Linked DNA regions of Mus musculus: regions 2 and 3 are each reported to be linked to region 1. The links are microRNA targets in miRTarBase. Many come from high-throughput screens and were not tested one by one. Region 1 holds a microRNA gene; each other region holds the end of a gene's coding sequence.

Region 1 (5,076 bases):
CAAACAGATCTATGACTGCCATTCTTATGTGTATATGTATGTGTGTGTGTATGTTCATATACATGCATGTACAAGCACACTTACCTACACATATATACACATACACAAGGACAATCAAATGAATTCCAGGCTGATCTCTAACTCATCATGAAGTTAAACATGAATTTGAACTCCGTATCCTCCTGACTCTGGAAAGAGTATCCACCTCCTAACTGAGGCATAGCTCTGGCCCAGTACTGCATAAGCTCTAAAGCTCTGAGTCACATATCATTCAAAAGGATATATGACTGTCATTCCTGTATGTGAGTTTGTATGCATGTGTGTATATGCATAGTCATATAGAGAAATGAATATGCACACAACTATACACACATGCACATTATTGGTGGGCATCACATGAATGCCAGGATGATCTCTAACTCATCAGGAAGTTAAACATAAATTAGACCTCCTGATCCTCCTGACTCTGGCAAGAATACTCACCTCCTAACTGAGACATAGCTCTGGTCCGTTACTGGATAAACTCTAAAGCTCTAAGTCACATACCATTCAAAAGGATATATGAGTGCCATTCCTGTGTGTGCTTGCGTGTATATGCATATTCATATAGAGAAATGAATATGCACACAACTATACACCCATGCACATTTTTGGTGGGCATCACACGAATCGCATCTGATCTCTAACTCATTATGAAGTTAAGCATGAATTCGAATTCCTGATCCTCCTGACTCTGGAAGGATTATTCACCCGGTGAGTGAGATCACGCACTGGCCCAGTCATACAGAACCTCTAAGACTAAGTCACATATCATTCAAATGGATCCATGAGTGGCGATTTTGCGTGTATTTGTGTGCATGCTTGTATGGGTATGTGTGTATGTATATGTATACTCATATACACACATGCACATGCACACATACATATACACACAGGCACATACACTGGGGGGGGGGGGCGCCATCACATGAATCTGAAGCTGATCCCTACCTAATCATGAATTTGAGAATGAATTTCCACTCCTGATCCTCCTGACTCTGGCAAGCATTTTCACCTTGTGAGTGAGAGCACCCACTGATCCAGCCCTGCATAATCTCTCAAACTCTAAGTCACATACCTTTAAGGCCTGACTCTGGCAAGCACTTTGACCTGTTGAGTAAGAGCATGCACGGGCACAGTACTGCATAATCTTTAAAACTCTTAGTCACATATTATGCAAGTAGATGAATGCAAGTCACCATGTGTTTGTGTGTGTGTTGCATGTGTGTGTGTGTCTGCACATGCATATCCATATACATTCATGAACATGCACACACATGTAAGCACACGTGCACATACATGGGTGGCATCAAATGAATACCAGGATGATCTCTAAATGGAGTTTGAACTCCTGATCCTCCTGACTTTGTCAATCATTTACACCTGGTGATTGAGACCATTCACTGTCCCTCTACTGCATAATCTCTAAAACTCTAAGTCATATATCATTCAAATGGATCGATGAGTACCATTCCTATGTTTGTGTGTTTCTGTGCTTGCATTTATACATGTGTGGATGTTATATATATTCATATACACACATGCACACACAACTATACACACGTTCACATGCATGGGGGGAATCACATAAATCACAGGCTGATCTCTAAGTCCTCATGAGTGTAAGCATGCATTTAAGCTCCTGATAGACCTGACTCTGGCAGTTGTCTACACCTGATGAGTGAGAACACTCACTGTCCCCGTACTGCATAATCTCTCACCTCTAAGTCACATGTTATTCAAATGGATCTAAGAGTGCCATTAATGTGTGCGTGTGCATGCATGAATATGTGTGCATGTATTTATATGTATATCAATATATATATACATGTACATGTACACACAAACACACATGCACATACATAGGGGTCATCACATGAATGCCAGGTTGATCTCTACCTCATCATGCAGTGAACATGAATTTGCACTCCTGATCATCCTGGCTCTGGCAAGGGGCGTCACCTGGTGAGTGAGACCTCTCTGTGGCCCAGTCATACAGAATCTCTAAGACTCACATATCATTGAAATGGATCGATGAGTGTCAATTTTCTGTGTGTTTGTGTGCATGTTTGTATGGGTATGTGTGTATGTATATGTATATTCATATACACACATGCACATGCACACATACATATACACACAGGCACATACACTGGGGGCATCACTAGAATCCGAAGCTGATCCTGGACTCATGAATTTGAGAATGAATTTCCACTCCTGATCCTCCTGACTCTGGCAAGCATTTTCACCTTGTGAGTGAGAGCACCCACTGATCCAGCCCTGCATAATCTCTAAAACTTTAAGTCACATGTCATTTAAAAGTATCAATGAGTGCCATTCGGGGTATGTGTGTGTGTGTGTGTGTGTGTGTGTGTATGTGTGTGTGTGTGTGTGTGTGTGTGTGTGTGTGCCTGTGTGTATGTGTTTGTGTGTATTTATATGTATATTCATATGCACACATACATTAGCACACAAAACTATGCAACATGAACATACACTGGGAAGGAACCCATAAAGCCAGGCTGATCTCTAAGCCATTTTGAAGTTATTCATAAATTTGAACTCCTAATCCTTCTGAATATGGGAAGCTTTTTCACATTGTGAGTAAAAAGTTTCATTAGCCCAATACTACATAATCTTTAAAGCTCTATGTCACACATCATTCAAATGTATCAATGAATGCCATTCCATGTTTGTGTGCTTGCATTTACATGTATGTTTATGGTATGTATATTTATATACACACATGTGCATACACAGGGACGTAAACACACATGCACATACACGGGTGGCATCACATGAATACCAGGATGATGTCCAGCTGAAGTTAAGCATGAATTTGAACTCCCGACCCTGCTCAATCTGTAATATGTTTGCACATGGCGAGTGAGACCGTTCACTGTCCCACTACTGCATAATCTCTAAAAGAATAAGTCACATAGCATTCAAATTAATGGATGAATTCAATTCCTCTGTGTGTGAGAGTGTATGTGCTTGCATTTGTGTGTGTGTGTGCGTGCGTATGATATATATATTCACATACACACAAGCACATGCACACACAAATATACACACATGGACATACATGGCTGAGAATCACATGAATCACAGGCTGATCTTAAAATCATCATGAAGTTAAGCATGAATTTGAACTCCTAAAACTCCTGATTCCAGCATACATTTTGACCTGGAGAGTGAGATCACGCACTGTCCCAGAACTGCATAATCTCTAAAACTCTAAGTGACATATCATTCAAATGGATCGATGAGTGTCATTTGTGTGTGTGTGTGTGTGCCGCATGTGTGTGCATGTGTCTGTATATGCAAAATCATATACATACATCCACATGCACACACACGAAAACACACATCGACATAAATGGGTGGCATCACATGAATGATCTATAACTGAAGTTAAGCATGAATTTGAAATCCTGATTAACCTGACTCTGTCAATCATTTACACCTGGTGAGTGAAACCATTCACTGTCCCCTATTGCATAATCTCTAAAACTCTTAAGTCAGTTATCATTCAAATGGATTGATGAGTGTCATTCTTGTGTCTGTGTGTGTGTGCTTGTGTTTATACGTGTGTGTGTATGTTATGTATATTCAAATACACACATAAACATGCACACACAACTATACACACATGCACATGCATGGAGGAATCACAGGCTGATCTCTCATGAGGATAAGTATGAATTTGAACTCGGGATACTCTTAACTCTAGCAAGGATTTTCACCTAGAGAATGAGAGCACTCACTGGCCAAGTACTGCATAATCTCTAATATGCTAAGTGACATATCATTCAAATGGATCAATGAGTGGCATTCGTGTGTGTGTGTGTGCTGCATGTGTCTGTACATGTATACTCATATATATACATTCACATGCACACACCTGTAAACACACATGCACATACACGGGTGGCATCACATGAATACCAGGATGATGTCCAGCTGAAGTTAAGCATGAATTTGAACTCCTGATCTTCTTGAATCTGCAAATTGTTTACACATGATGAGTGCGACCATTCATTACCCACTACTACATAATCTATAAGACTGTAAATCACATATCCTCTGTGTGTGTGTGTGTGTGTGTGCACGCACGCGCATGCAAGCGCACATGCACGTGTGTCTATGTATGCTCTCATGTATATGCATATTCATATACACACATGTACATGTACGCACACACAAACACACATGCACATACACAGGAGCCATCACATGAATGCCAGGCTGATCTCCAACTCATCATGCAACCAACATGAATTTACACTCTTGATCATCCTGAATCTGGCAAGGGTCTTTACCTTGTGAGTGAGAGCATTCATTGGCCCAGCACGGCATACTCTCTAAAACTCACATGTCACATGTCACATGTCACTCAAAATGATCTATGGGTGCCATTTCTGTGTGTGTGTATATCTGTGCATGCTTGTATATGTTTGTGTGGATGTATATGTATATTCATATACACACATGCACATGCACACAAAACTATACACACATGCAAATATATTGTGGGGAACCCCATAAAATCAGGCTGATCTCTACTCTCTTTTGAATTTATTTATGAATATGAATTCCTGACCCCTCTGAATATGGCAAGCTTTTACATAGTGAGAAAAACTTTCATTTGACCAGTACTACATAACCTTTAAAGCTCAAAATCACATATCATTCAAACATATCAATGAATTCCATTCCTTGTGTGTATGTGTGCATACGTGTGTCCATATACATGTATGTTTATGTTATATATATATATATATATATATATATATATATATATATATGTATATATATATATATATATATATATTCATTTACACAGATGTACACGCACACACATGTAAACACACATGCACATACATGGGTGGCATCACAGGAATACCAGGATAATCTCTAACTGAAGTTAATCATGAATTTGAAATCCTGATTCTCCAGACTTTGTCAATCATTTACAGCTGGTGACTGAGACCATTCACTGTCCCACTACTGCAGTCTCTAAAACTCTAAGTCACC
Region 2 (5,066 bases), not on the chromosome of region 1:
TGGTTGAAGCTTAGATGTCATAGAGGATACGGGTCTGCATCATATCTTCAGGTAAACCACAGCTCAGCATTTGACCAATCTGTCCTGCTTTGAGGGGATGGGGTTGGCCAAGCTCCATGGGGTGAGGAGGAGCCCCTGGTGCTCCAACCTTGGGGTCTGAGTTCCCCTCCCAGAAAGTGTTCTGATTTGGAGGCTACTGTGTTAACACTGAGGCTGAGATAGCCCCACTGAGAGGAGACTCCTACAGCCAGGAGGAGCTCAAGAGGCTCAACGGCTCTCACTTTCACGCAGGGACCTGATCCTGCTGCTGTGTGCGCCACATGCCGGAACATACCTGCTCCTAAACCACAACGTAAAATCGGGAGGAGACAAGCCAGTCTTTCCTGAACACCTTGATACAATATGTGAAGCAGCAGTGGCTGACGTGGGCACTGCGTCTTAGGCTCACATACCCCAAAGAAGAGCAAATTCCTACCAACCCATCAGGAACAGTGGCATCTTATTTTTCCCCTTTGCTTGCTTGCTGAACTTTGAAGTCAGAGGCATTGAATACTGTGCCCACTCCACCAGGGCCTGGAGGGTCAACCAGAGCTTTAGGTATGGGGTTAAAGCCAAAGAACAGCATTATAGGCCCCTCTGAAGTCACTGGGGACAAGGAGAGTGCTCCTCCAGGAGAAGTCTGCCATTCCCAGGGGAGCCGAGGAAGAGGAGAGCCCAAGATGGTGGATGAAGGTGAGGGGGAGTTTGGCCGGGCCCAGAAACTCCAACTCAAGATCCAGAGATCAAGTCAGGAGGAAAAGAATAGAAGCAAAATCCCCACAATGCCTAGAGTTAAACTAAGACTGACTGGAGTGTTCTTTTTAGATTTGTTATTTTATGTGGTATGTTTTGCTCACGTGCATATATGTGTACAATGTGCCTACCTGGTGCCCATGAAGGCACCAAAAGTAGACATCAGAGCTGCTGGGACTGGGTTATAGATAGTTGTGAGCCGTCATGTGGGCGTTAGAAATGAAACCCTGGTCTTGTACCAGGGCAAGTGCTCTTACTCGCCGAGCCGGCGGCTCCGTGCTCAGACAGGAGTTTTCTATTTGAAAATGTAAACAGGCCCTAGCATAAGCCATAGCTCACAGCCAGCTCTGGGTCTTGAGCCTTGTGACTGTGTGACATGTGGAAGTAAGTCACTGTGGGTCCTAGTCTCATCTACGAAATTATACGCATGGCATTGCTTAGGCCGATGGAGCTAAGGAGATCATTGTGAACCCAAGACATCAGGAGCACAAGGGATACTGGGACAGCTGATTATATGTAGGGCTGACTGTAAGAGATGCTGCTGGCCTTATCCCTCCCCCTTGATCACCAGAAGAGTGGCTTTCACAGAAGCCACATCTGGAATAGGGACCCATCAGGTCCATGCCTAGCAGTAAGCTTCTGCTGTGCTCGGTCTCTGCCTGAAGACTTTTTCTTTCCTACCTACTATACTACCTAGGAAGGCCTTGACTCTACAGTGATGCCCTTGGCCCAGGGTGCCCTTCTCCTTGGACCTCAGTGCCTCGTGTGGGTCTCTGAAGTGAGAGCCCATGGTTTCTTCCCTTCTTTCCCAGCATGCAAGGAAAGGGCCTTGGCTAGACACATAGTAGCTACAGAAATGCAGAAGATAGCGACCAGCTCCTGGGCTCAGGCAACTGTCAGGCACAAACGCCTTCCTTCATTGGACTTCCTGTGGGGTGGTCTCAGGCTGGTCTAGTTTAGCTCCAAAGTCCATTTCTGTGTGCTCTTGAGTAAGAACCCTATTTTTCCAACGGCACAGTCCACGGTAAATGCACAGAAAACAAGAGGCACGAGCAGGATAGGATCAGAATACTTTAATAAGATATCAGTGTCAAAATACATTTCCTTATAAAGTTAAGCTCCCGTACAGTTATAATGTCGTCAGTAGGAATTTGACAATGCAGTAATGGTCATGAAGTTGTTACATGGACAGGAAAGGTTAATACGAAACTCGGAATATTTCTCAGAGTGTCTTTAGTAGAACTGCAAACGGAAATGCCCTTAACGCTGAGGCAACAACACAGGAAATCAAACACCAGCATTTGCATGTCAATAACCCTTCAAGTTCCGTCGCCCGCCTGCGTGTGTGCCAGGCCACACTGTGCACCGATGCGCAGCTTGGACAACACCATGCCTAGGTAATGTCAGGTAGACTGACCTTCAGAGTTAATTTTTGGTTTGAGCAGCAAGTCCCCTTAGGCTTACTGTACTCTTGCCTGATGGGCTTTGTGTGTGTTGAGAGTTTTATTGTACCCGAGTCAACAACACCTTATGTTGATTGGTATCGCAAACCCAAAAGGTGCTTCCCCTCCCCCTCAGTGAGTTACAAAGTGCTCTTGGAACACGATTTTCAGTGCTTTCTACCTGTTCAGTGTCACACTTCATGTGACTGAGACCTCAGCTAGAGGCTGTCCTTGGAGGTCTGCCCGCTGCTCGCCAGCAGGGGGCGCTGCACCGTGGCTTCGCAGGGTCATTTGCCCGGCAAGCTGTGATCTGTGGCAGGGTGTAGGGCTGGTCAGACCTGCTACCCTCCACCTGGCACCCACTCCCAGTTTAGCTCCAAGGACTAGGTCACTACATTTGTGAATCCTAACTTGCTTTATGAATTCCCATTAAAAACATTTCATGGTAGCTGTGCCAACCCAAACGTGCCGCAGGAGAGAGATTGGCAGTCTCGTAGCTCAGTGTGCTAGAAGGGCTAGCAACATTGCCTGAAAAAAAGTGAGAGCGCTTCCTTCCAGCTCGCCTGCGACATGCCCTCAGAGCCTGCAAGCCCCGAGCCCTCATAGCGGCAACAGCACACACGTACATAATACACTGAGAACACGAAAAGATAGCTTGCAATGTTCCCCCTTAATGACTTCTCTCCTGGGACTGTCACACCGCTGCCATATCACAAAAGCAAAAAGTCACCAGAGAGAAAGAAAGAGAGATCTGTGGCGGTTAGTCAGGCCTGTGGGAGTACTGCACAGGTCTACAGTGTCCAGAACACTGAGAAAAATAAAATTAACAGCCCTAAAAGATCTTAAAAGTGATTCTTGTGAGCAAGATCCCATTTCTAAGCTTTTAGATATTACAGAGTACCCATATATATGATAAACACTAAACCCGGATATAAATTCTTCTTAAAAAACCAAACAAAACAAAACTCAGTTTTGCTTTTGAATAATAGTTAAAAAAATCCACTGGACCCGGGGAGAGATGGGGGCATTACCAGACAGCTTCGAACACCACCGCGTGGCTTCACAGGTAACCCTAGAGTTGATTCTTCACATTGCTTTTTTGCCCCATACTAAGTCGTATGAAAAAACCGGAGCAAAGAGTTGGCTTTAAAAACACAAAATTTTACAATATGGTGATTAGATGTGTGTGTGTGTGTGTGTGTGTGCACGCATACGTGCATGTGTGTATATGTGTGTAGGGGTGTGTGTGTGTGTGTGTGTGTGTGTGCACGCATACGTGCATGTGTGTATATGTGTGTAGGGGTGTGTGTGTGTGTGTGTGTGTGTGTGTATATGTGTGTGTGTGTGTGTGTGTGTAGGGGTGTGTGTGTGTGTGTGTGTGTGTGTGTGTGTGTGTGCACGCATACGTGCATGTGTGTATATGTGTGTAGGGGTGTGTGTGTGTGTGTGTGTATGTGGGGGTGGGGGAGAGGGAGAATCCACAGTGGAGGAAAATCCTTTTCTCTTTGGCAACAAGAACAAGAACACTTGAGTTGAATGACGCCAAAGCTTTCCTAGGGAGAGGCACCAGCCACCATGCTTGTTAGTATGGATATGAATGAGAGAGAGAAAAACCTTTGGGGAATATAAATTAGAAGTAATTCAAGGGAGGGAGGGAGGGGGAAATCTTATAAAATTTCAGAACACTTTCATCAACGGTAAAACATAGCAGGTACAACAACTATGTATTTTTAAAACATGGATAATAAAGTGAGCATGTCAGATAAAGGCCACTGCTTGGTGACCTGGCCAGTAGGCCAGGTTGAGTACATCTCGTAAGAAGTGTGCTGGTGTTAGAGATACCTAATAGCAACACAGATGGAAGTGAAGCTGGCAGGTCAAGACGGCGGGGCAGGCAGGGGCATGCCCGGCCAGAGGCCCTGGCTCAGGTGGCCTGGTCCAGAGCTCTGAGAAGGTCTCTCCCCTGCAGGAGTGTGGAGCTTCCAGGCACGGGCACGTTCACCTCACAGTCATATCTGGTCAGTTCCGGCAACAGGTAAGGCTCGAACGATGGCCCCAGCAGTCGACTGGCCACGCCTGAGAGGAGGGAGAGGAGGGTGTTTTAGAGGACTGGCACACACCTGCTCCGCTGGCTGTAGATGACCAGAGGAAAGGGCATGCATGCAAACAACTGTGTCTCCAGCTTCCAGCAACTTCCGATGCAGCAGCACTCTGGCCCTGGGGCTCCATCCCCTGTTCAGAGGACGGAGCCAGAAGAGGACATGCCACAGCAGTGGTGAGATCCAAAGATGGCTGGAGCGAGAGCAGAGCTCTCTCAGTTTAGAGACAGAGCTGGGTCCCAGTGTGCTCTCCCTTCTGGGGTCCACACTTCCCGTTGCCTGCACTCCTACCAACAGATGCCCTGCCCTTCTTAAATTCACCTCCTTTCGGTCTATGGGCAGAAACGATCTATGTTGAAATTAGTTTTGCTTCGCATTCAACAGCTGGGGAAACCTGTCATTTGCTGACTACAGCTGCCCAGATGTGTATACCGGGGGTGAGTGATGTGTGGTCCTCTCTTTAAACTTTAAACTTTCTCTTTTAAGACTTCTGGCTTGCAAGCCCACCTGCTGGTAAACAACAGAACTGAAATATCAGCCCAGGGCTTTTGGGTTCTTCAGATGGAATTCTAAGAACACAACTATAAATTTTCCCCAACTCTGCTACTGTAGACAAGGCTCTGGAATTTTCTTTCTCAAACCACAGATTGTTTGTGCCGAGCAAAGGCGTCTATGGGAACACTTGTGTGTTTCAGTGGCAATAGCTGAACTTACTGGATCACCAGGCTACCCT
Region 3 (5,066 bases), not on the chromosome of region 1:
GAGGAACTGATTTAAAGGCGTGCAGTATTAGGACCTTTGAATCCACTGCTCTAGAGGATCCCTTTAAAGTAGAGGGCAAAGGTCTTGGGTTTGAGGAATAGACCACCACAGCTGCCTTATATCCCCACAAATTACTTATTCCTCTTCCTAGGTGAATAACCTCTGATTTTACATGATAGGCCAACCTGGAGTACACAGAGTAAGATCAATGATTTTTTTTTTTTTGTCTGTTTTCAATTAGAGTGTTTTTTTTTCCTATTATATTTCCATGACTTAAAACACAGTATCTCTTTTCTTTCCCTGGCTCCCTATCATTAAAGGAACCAATCATCAGCTAAACTCACTTTCTCTGACTTTTCCATCTTGATGTATCTGGTTTGTTTGCAGTGATAAATGCAAACAAACTATAACTAGGGTCAGAAAACCACTAGTTACTGTATCCTTAGCCGGAGTAAGGCTGGTATGTCGTTTCCTTGACTTGGATTGCCTACTTGACTTGTGCCTAACTCTTCTATTTTCTCCATTATACACAGGTCTGCAATTAAAGCCTTGCGCCCCGGAGGGCTCCTCGTGTACTCTACATGCACGCTTTCCAAGGCTGAAAATCAAGATGTGATCAGCGAGGTCTTAACTTCCGACAGTAACATCGTACCTGTGGATATTAGTGGGATAGCAAGGACTTTCTCCCAAGACTTCACATTTGCCCCTACTGACCAGAAATGCAGCCTTTTGGTGATTCCGGAAAAGGGCAAAGCTTGGGGCCCAATGTATATAGCCAAACTGAAAAAAGGGATGAGTACAAGAAAAAGGCAAGGCGAATTTTGTAAGCCATGCTGATGTGTTATTGAATGCATATTTTCTGAGCTCACCACGTGTTAGTTGTTAGGTGTAGCTCTTTGCTTCTCTGCCTTAGTTCCAGGAATGGACTGAGCTACCAGCTCCCACCCACCTTCCCTTGAATCCACGGATAAAAGTCGAGCGCGCGCGCGCGCACACACACACACACACACACACACACACACACATCACACGGCTATTCCTTTTCAACTTACCTTCTTGGCACAATTGCTGCATGCTGTTATCTCCCGCCTGGAAAAACATGCTCTTATCAGTATTCTTAGTCCACATCTCCCACCCACCCTAAACTTTAGCTGCTAAACTCCCCTGACCACCGGTCTATAAGAGCAGCCTGTGTGGCCACCCCATTTTGAGATCTCACATGGCTGGACAACTTTTCTCCATCAGAAGACCAGCAAACTCTGTCTCTCCTTCCTTGTGTCTGTCTTTTTTCCTTCAGGGACCTGGAAGTTTCACTTATTCCTTCCTCCCCACAATTGGCTATGGCTTCTTTACTGACAGATCAAGAACCAATTGAGGAACAGGACAGCATCAGAACCGCCCCTACAGTTAGTGTTTAACTACTTACAGAGCCACTTTCCCTAGGACCACTTGGCTTCTGTTTAGTTAGTATTTCAGCCTCAATGAGCATAGGATTAAGAAATTTTCAGGTACAATTTTGCTCCTGGAAATATATGTATAGTGATGATTTAAAGTGGGACAGATGGTGTTGGTTCTGTATAATAATTTTTTGTCTTTTAATTGGGACTTTATAGATAAATTAATTAGAATACTGAGTTCTGTGCATAAAATGTTTAGGACCGTATTCTATAACATGAGTGTTTTAAATCTTTCCATTAAAAATGTGTATTTGTCAACACTTTTACTGTTTCCTCATCAAATCTGCAGAATCTTTTAGTAGGAATAATTGGTATTCGGAGGCTAACTTCTTAAGCAGCACAATTTCTAGTTCTAGCAAAATAGGTTTCTTGTTTGCGGAGTTGTTCTGTGTTAAGTTAAGGACTGTCTTCTGTTTACTGCAGAGGGCAGTGACTCTGTTGACACCAGCTTGATTTCTCCCCATTTGCATTTATTCACAAATACAAACTGAAAGGGTAAATTATGTTCAAAGGCCTTTAGAGCAACAGATTCACACGCACGCATTTGACTTTCGACATTCAGCTTGTAGAATAATGGAGTCTATCCAGCAGGCTATAAAGCAAGCACTTGAAACAAAACCAGAATGATTAATAACGGCAATAACTGAACTATATTTGGAGTGTTTTGTTACATAATTGCAGTCATAATGAGTACTACAGAATCTGATTATCTTACAGTTGCAATCTGGAGTGGCTTTTTATTTCACTTGGTTATAAAATGTTATATGAGAGTGTGATGTCACATATTAATATAGAAGATGCCTACCTAATAAGAGTCAATTCTTTATTACCAAGACCCCAAACCATTCAGAGTGGTCTCTATTTACACATATCCCAAGAATTTTGTGTGTGCTTCTATATTTATACTTAGGCTTTTTTAAAATCAATTTTCAATCTTAAATTTTTCTTTAGAAATGCTTCAGTTGGATCCAAACATTTTTCCAACTATTAAGAAAAATCACAGTGGCAGACATGGCACTGCACACCTGTAGTCACAGCATTTTGGGGGCTGAGGTGGAAGAATTATAAATTCAAGTCAGCCTTGGCTGCCTAGCAAGACCCTCCTCAAGGATGATGTAGGGAGGAGAGAGGGAAGGGGGAAGGCTAGAGCAGGAGAGAAAAATCACAAAGCATACTTGAAATTGGAAATTAGCTTTTTATTTTCATTAAGATTTATTTATTTTTATCTTATTTTATATGTATAAATATCTTGGCAACATGTATGTCTGCGTACCATGTGCATACCTGTTGCATGGGGAAGTCAGAACTGGACATCAGGTCCTCCAGAACTGAGATATATAGATGGTTTTGAACCACCATATAGGTGCTTGGAATCAAAAGCTCGTCTTCTGTATAAGCAACAAGTGCTGTTAACTGCTGAGCTATCTCTCAAGCCCAAAAGTAGCTTAAAAAAATCACCTGTGGAAGCACAAAATTCCATGGATCCAGAGTGGAGAGTGTTCTGTTCTATGCATTAAGCTATCCAGTACATACTTTTTGTTTTGCACATCTGTGTAACTGGAGTCAAATGAATGACAGTCTAGGAAAAATCATCTACCTTTGTTCTTGACAATATCTTAAACTATATCTGACCAGTGTGTTTATAGTAAATGTTTATCTCTTGGGCCTATCTAATGTATTCAGTTAATACAGAAGATTAATGATAGAAAAGGTTTTTTTTTTTGTTTTGTTTTGTTTTAGTTGGAAGTAGTGTTTGTATTTCTGCTTGAATTCCTGTCTTTGGATTCTGTAGTTTTAAAAGTGCTTTTGTATAAGTTAACCACAATGTAAATCTTCACAGTACACACACAGTTGTGTGTGTTGAATGTCATTATTTTTCCAGTATAATGTCATGATACTTCAAATGAACACTAGGTGTGGTATTGGACTTGATTATCTTGGGATTGATGAAAATATATGTCTTAATGCATATATTCATCGACTTTATTATTAAGATGATTGTAACAAAACAGCAAACATTTATTGAGCATTAAATGCTTGATTGAAGTCTTTATGATGCCTTTTTTTGACCTTTATAACTGTGGCCAGGAATGGTGGTGATGGGTGTCAGTAATCAGCCTTTGGGAGGGAGAGGCCTGCCAATGACTGGCCACAAAGGGAGACATAGTCTCAAAACAAGCAAACAACCAAGTGAACAGCCACTGGTAATGAGTTTGTATTCCTCTCTGTAAATGAGGGAAGCAAAGCCCAGTGTTATCTGTTTGTCAAGGACACTGCCAAGTTAAGAAGAGAACTCAGATGCGAGCTGGCTCCATTGCCAGCCCTTCCTACTGTCACTGTGTTGTCTCACTCAGTATGGATTGTATGATCTTCAAGATTAGTGGCTGCCTTTATGCCTATTCTCCACTGTTCGGTTTTCTGTTTATGCACAATTCTCTATTCCCAGAGCACCAAGTACAGATCATCAGAGCTTGATCAGTACTTGGGAAAGAAAAGGCTTTGAAATATATCAGTCCTATTCGGAGGAAGTATGCCTTGTGATTGTTATACTAAGGATTCTCCCATGGAGGCATTTTGTGCCTCCCTCTTTGTTATGCATGGTGAGCTGAAGAATGGATATTTGGGCAGCCTTGCAATGTCAACCAAAAACCAAGAAGTAATAAATGCTTCTTTCTGTGGCATGAAGTCACTTTCAAAACAGCTTCATCAAATTTAGGTCACCTACCAACACATTAACTGCTCCTGCCATCAGCACACTGAACAGCCACTAGTTTCACAAATAGACTAAGAATAAATGTAATGCATTTAAATGGTTTGTACTGAGTTTTTAAAGCATAAGACGCTATTTGTGGTTTGGAGTCAAGGTAGCCTACTATTCTTTATCCCATTACATATATCCATTTAGCCTTATACTTAAATTACATATTATTCCCCTAGTGGTACTGTAAAAAAAAATACGCTTTCATATAATGTAGGTAGGTATAAAAACTGACTACCTGAATACATGGTACATGAATAAATAATCAAGGCCTAATAGACCTTTCTTCAAGAAGCCTGTATACCTGGTGAGAAGCACTGGGTCATCTGCATAGGCTAATGTAGCTCATCTAAAATACAAGAGAAAATCCGAATGCATGGTGACAATCGTATTACATGCCAAGAAGTCCTTTGATGCAATTGAATGGGGCTACTTGTGTTATGTGTTAGGTAAATTTGACTTTAGGGACAAATAGAGCAGATAGCACAATTTATTTTCAACTCCTTTATTTGGTTCAAATCAATGGTTTACAATCTCCCTTCCCTGGCTTATTACTGCACTGGGGTTGGAAGCAAGGATAAGGCCCATTTCTAATGTTCCTCTCCAGGCTGACAGTGATACTTCCAATCTCACCCGATCCCAGGGGCACCTACAGAACCCTCAGATGGAAGCTCAGATGGAAGTTAAATACTACATGCTGCTTGCTGCTAGTCTACAAGTGGTGAGAGCCCTAACACCATCTATCCTGAAGAAATTAACTGGAATGTCAGGAATTCAGTGGTATCAGGATGCAAAGTCAGTGGGAGAGAATCAGAAATATTATCTTGACACAATACTTTCTACAAACATGA

What was found. Region 1 holds the annotated microRNA mmu-miR-466h-5p (UGUGUGCAUGUGCUUGUGUGUA, at 3,080-3,101, opposite strand). A microRNA usually pairs through its seed, bases 2 to 8, with sites in the 3' UTR of a target mRNA and lowers its output. Matches are read on the target gene's strand: a 7mer-m8 pairs with bases 2 to 8, a 7mer-A1 pairs with bases 2 to 7 and ends in A, and an 8mer does both.
Region 2: miRTarBase lists Epas1 as a target of mmu-miR-466h-5p. Seed matches in the 3' UTR shown: 8mer at 3,626-3,633, 8mer at 3,496-3,503, 8mer at 3,434-3,441 and 7mer-A1 at 2,135-2,141.
Region 3: miRTarBase lists Nsun3 as a target of mmu-miR-466h-5p. Seed matches in the 3' UTR shown: 7mer-A1 at 991-997.

Annotation. Positions count from the first base shown.
Region 1 is chr2:10,512,926-10,518,001 of GRCm38, reverse strand. It overlaps Mir466h (microRNA 466h), which reads right to left and starts at 3,111; the gene lies at 3,031-3,111. All of the region lies in intron 10 of Sfmbt2 (Scm-like with four mbt domains 2), which reads right to left. Mir669m-2 (microRNA 669m-2) reads right to left here and starts at 4,568; the gene lies at 4,471-4,568. Mir466n (microRNA 466n) reads right to left here and starts at 4,261; the gene lies at 4,168-4,261. It also overlaps Mir669o, Mir466g, Mir297a-3, Mir466l, Mir297a-4 and Mir669i.
Region 2 is chr17:86,830,195-86,835,260 of GRCm38, reverse strand. Epas1 (endothelial PAS domain protein 1) reads right to left here. Exons shown (of 16, transcript NM_010137.3): 16 at 1,851-4,310. The coding sequence ends at 4,159. Among named protein-coding and RNA genes, the nearest start is that of Epas1, 79 kb to the right of the region's middle.
Region 3 is chr16:62,730,886-62,735,951 of GRCm38, reverse strand. Nsun3 (NOL1/NOP2/Sun domain family member 3) reads left to right here. Exons shown (of 6, transcript NM_178925.3): 6 at 534-1,100. The coding sequence ends at 837. Among named protein-coding and RNA genes, the nearest start is that of Gm52231, 22 kb to the left of the region's middle.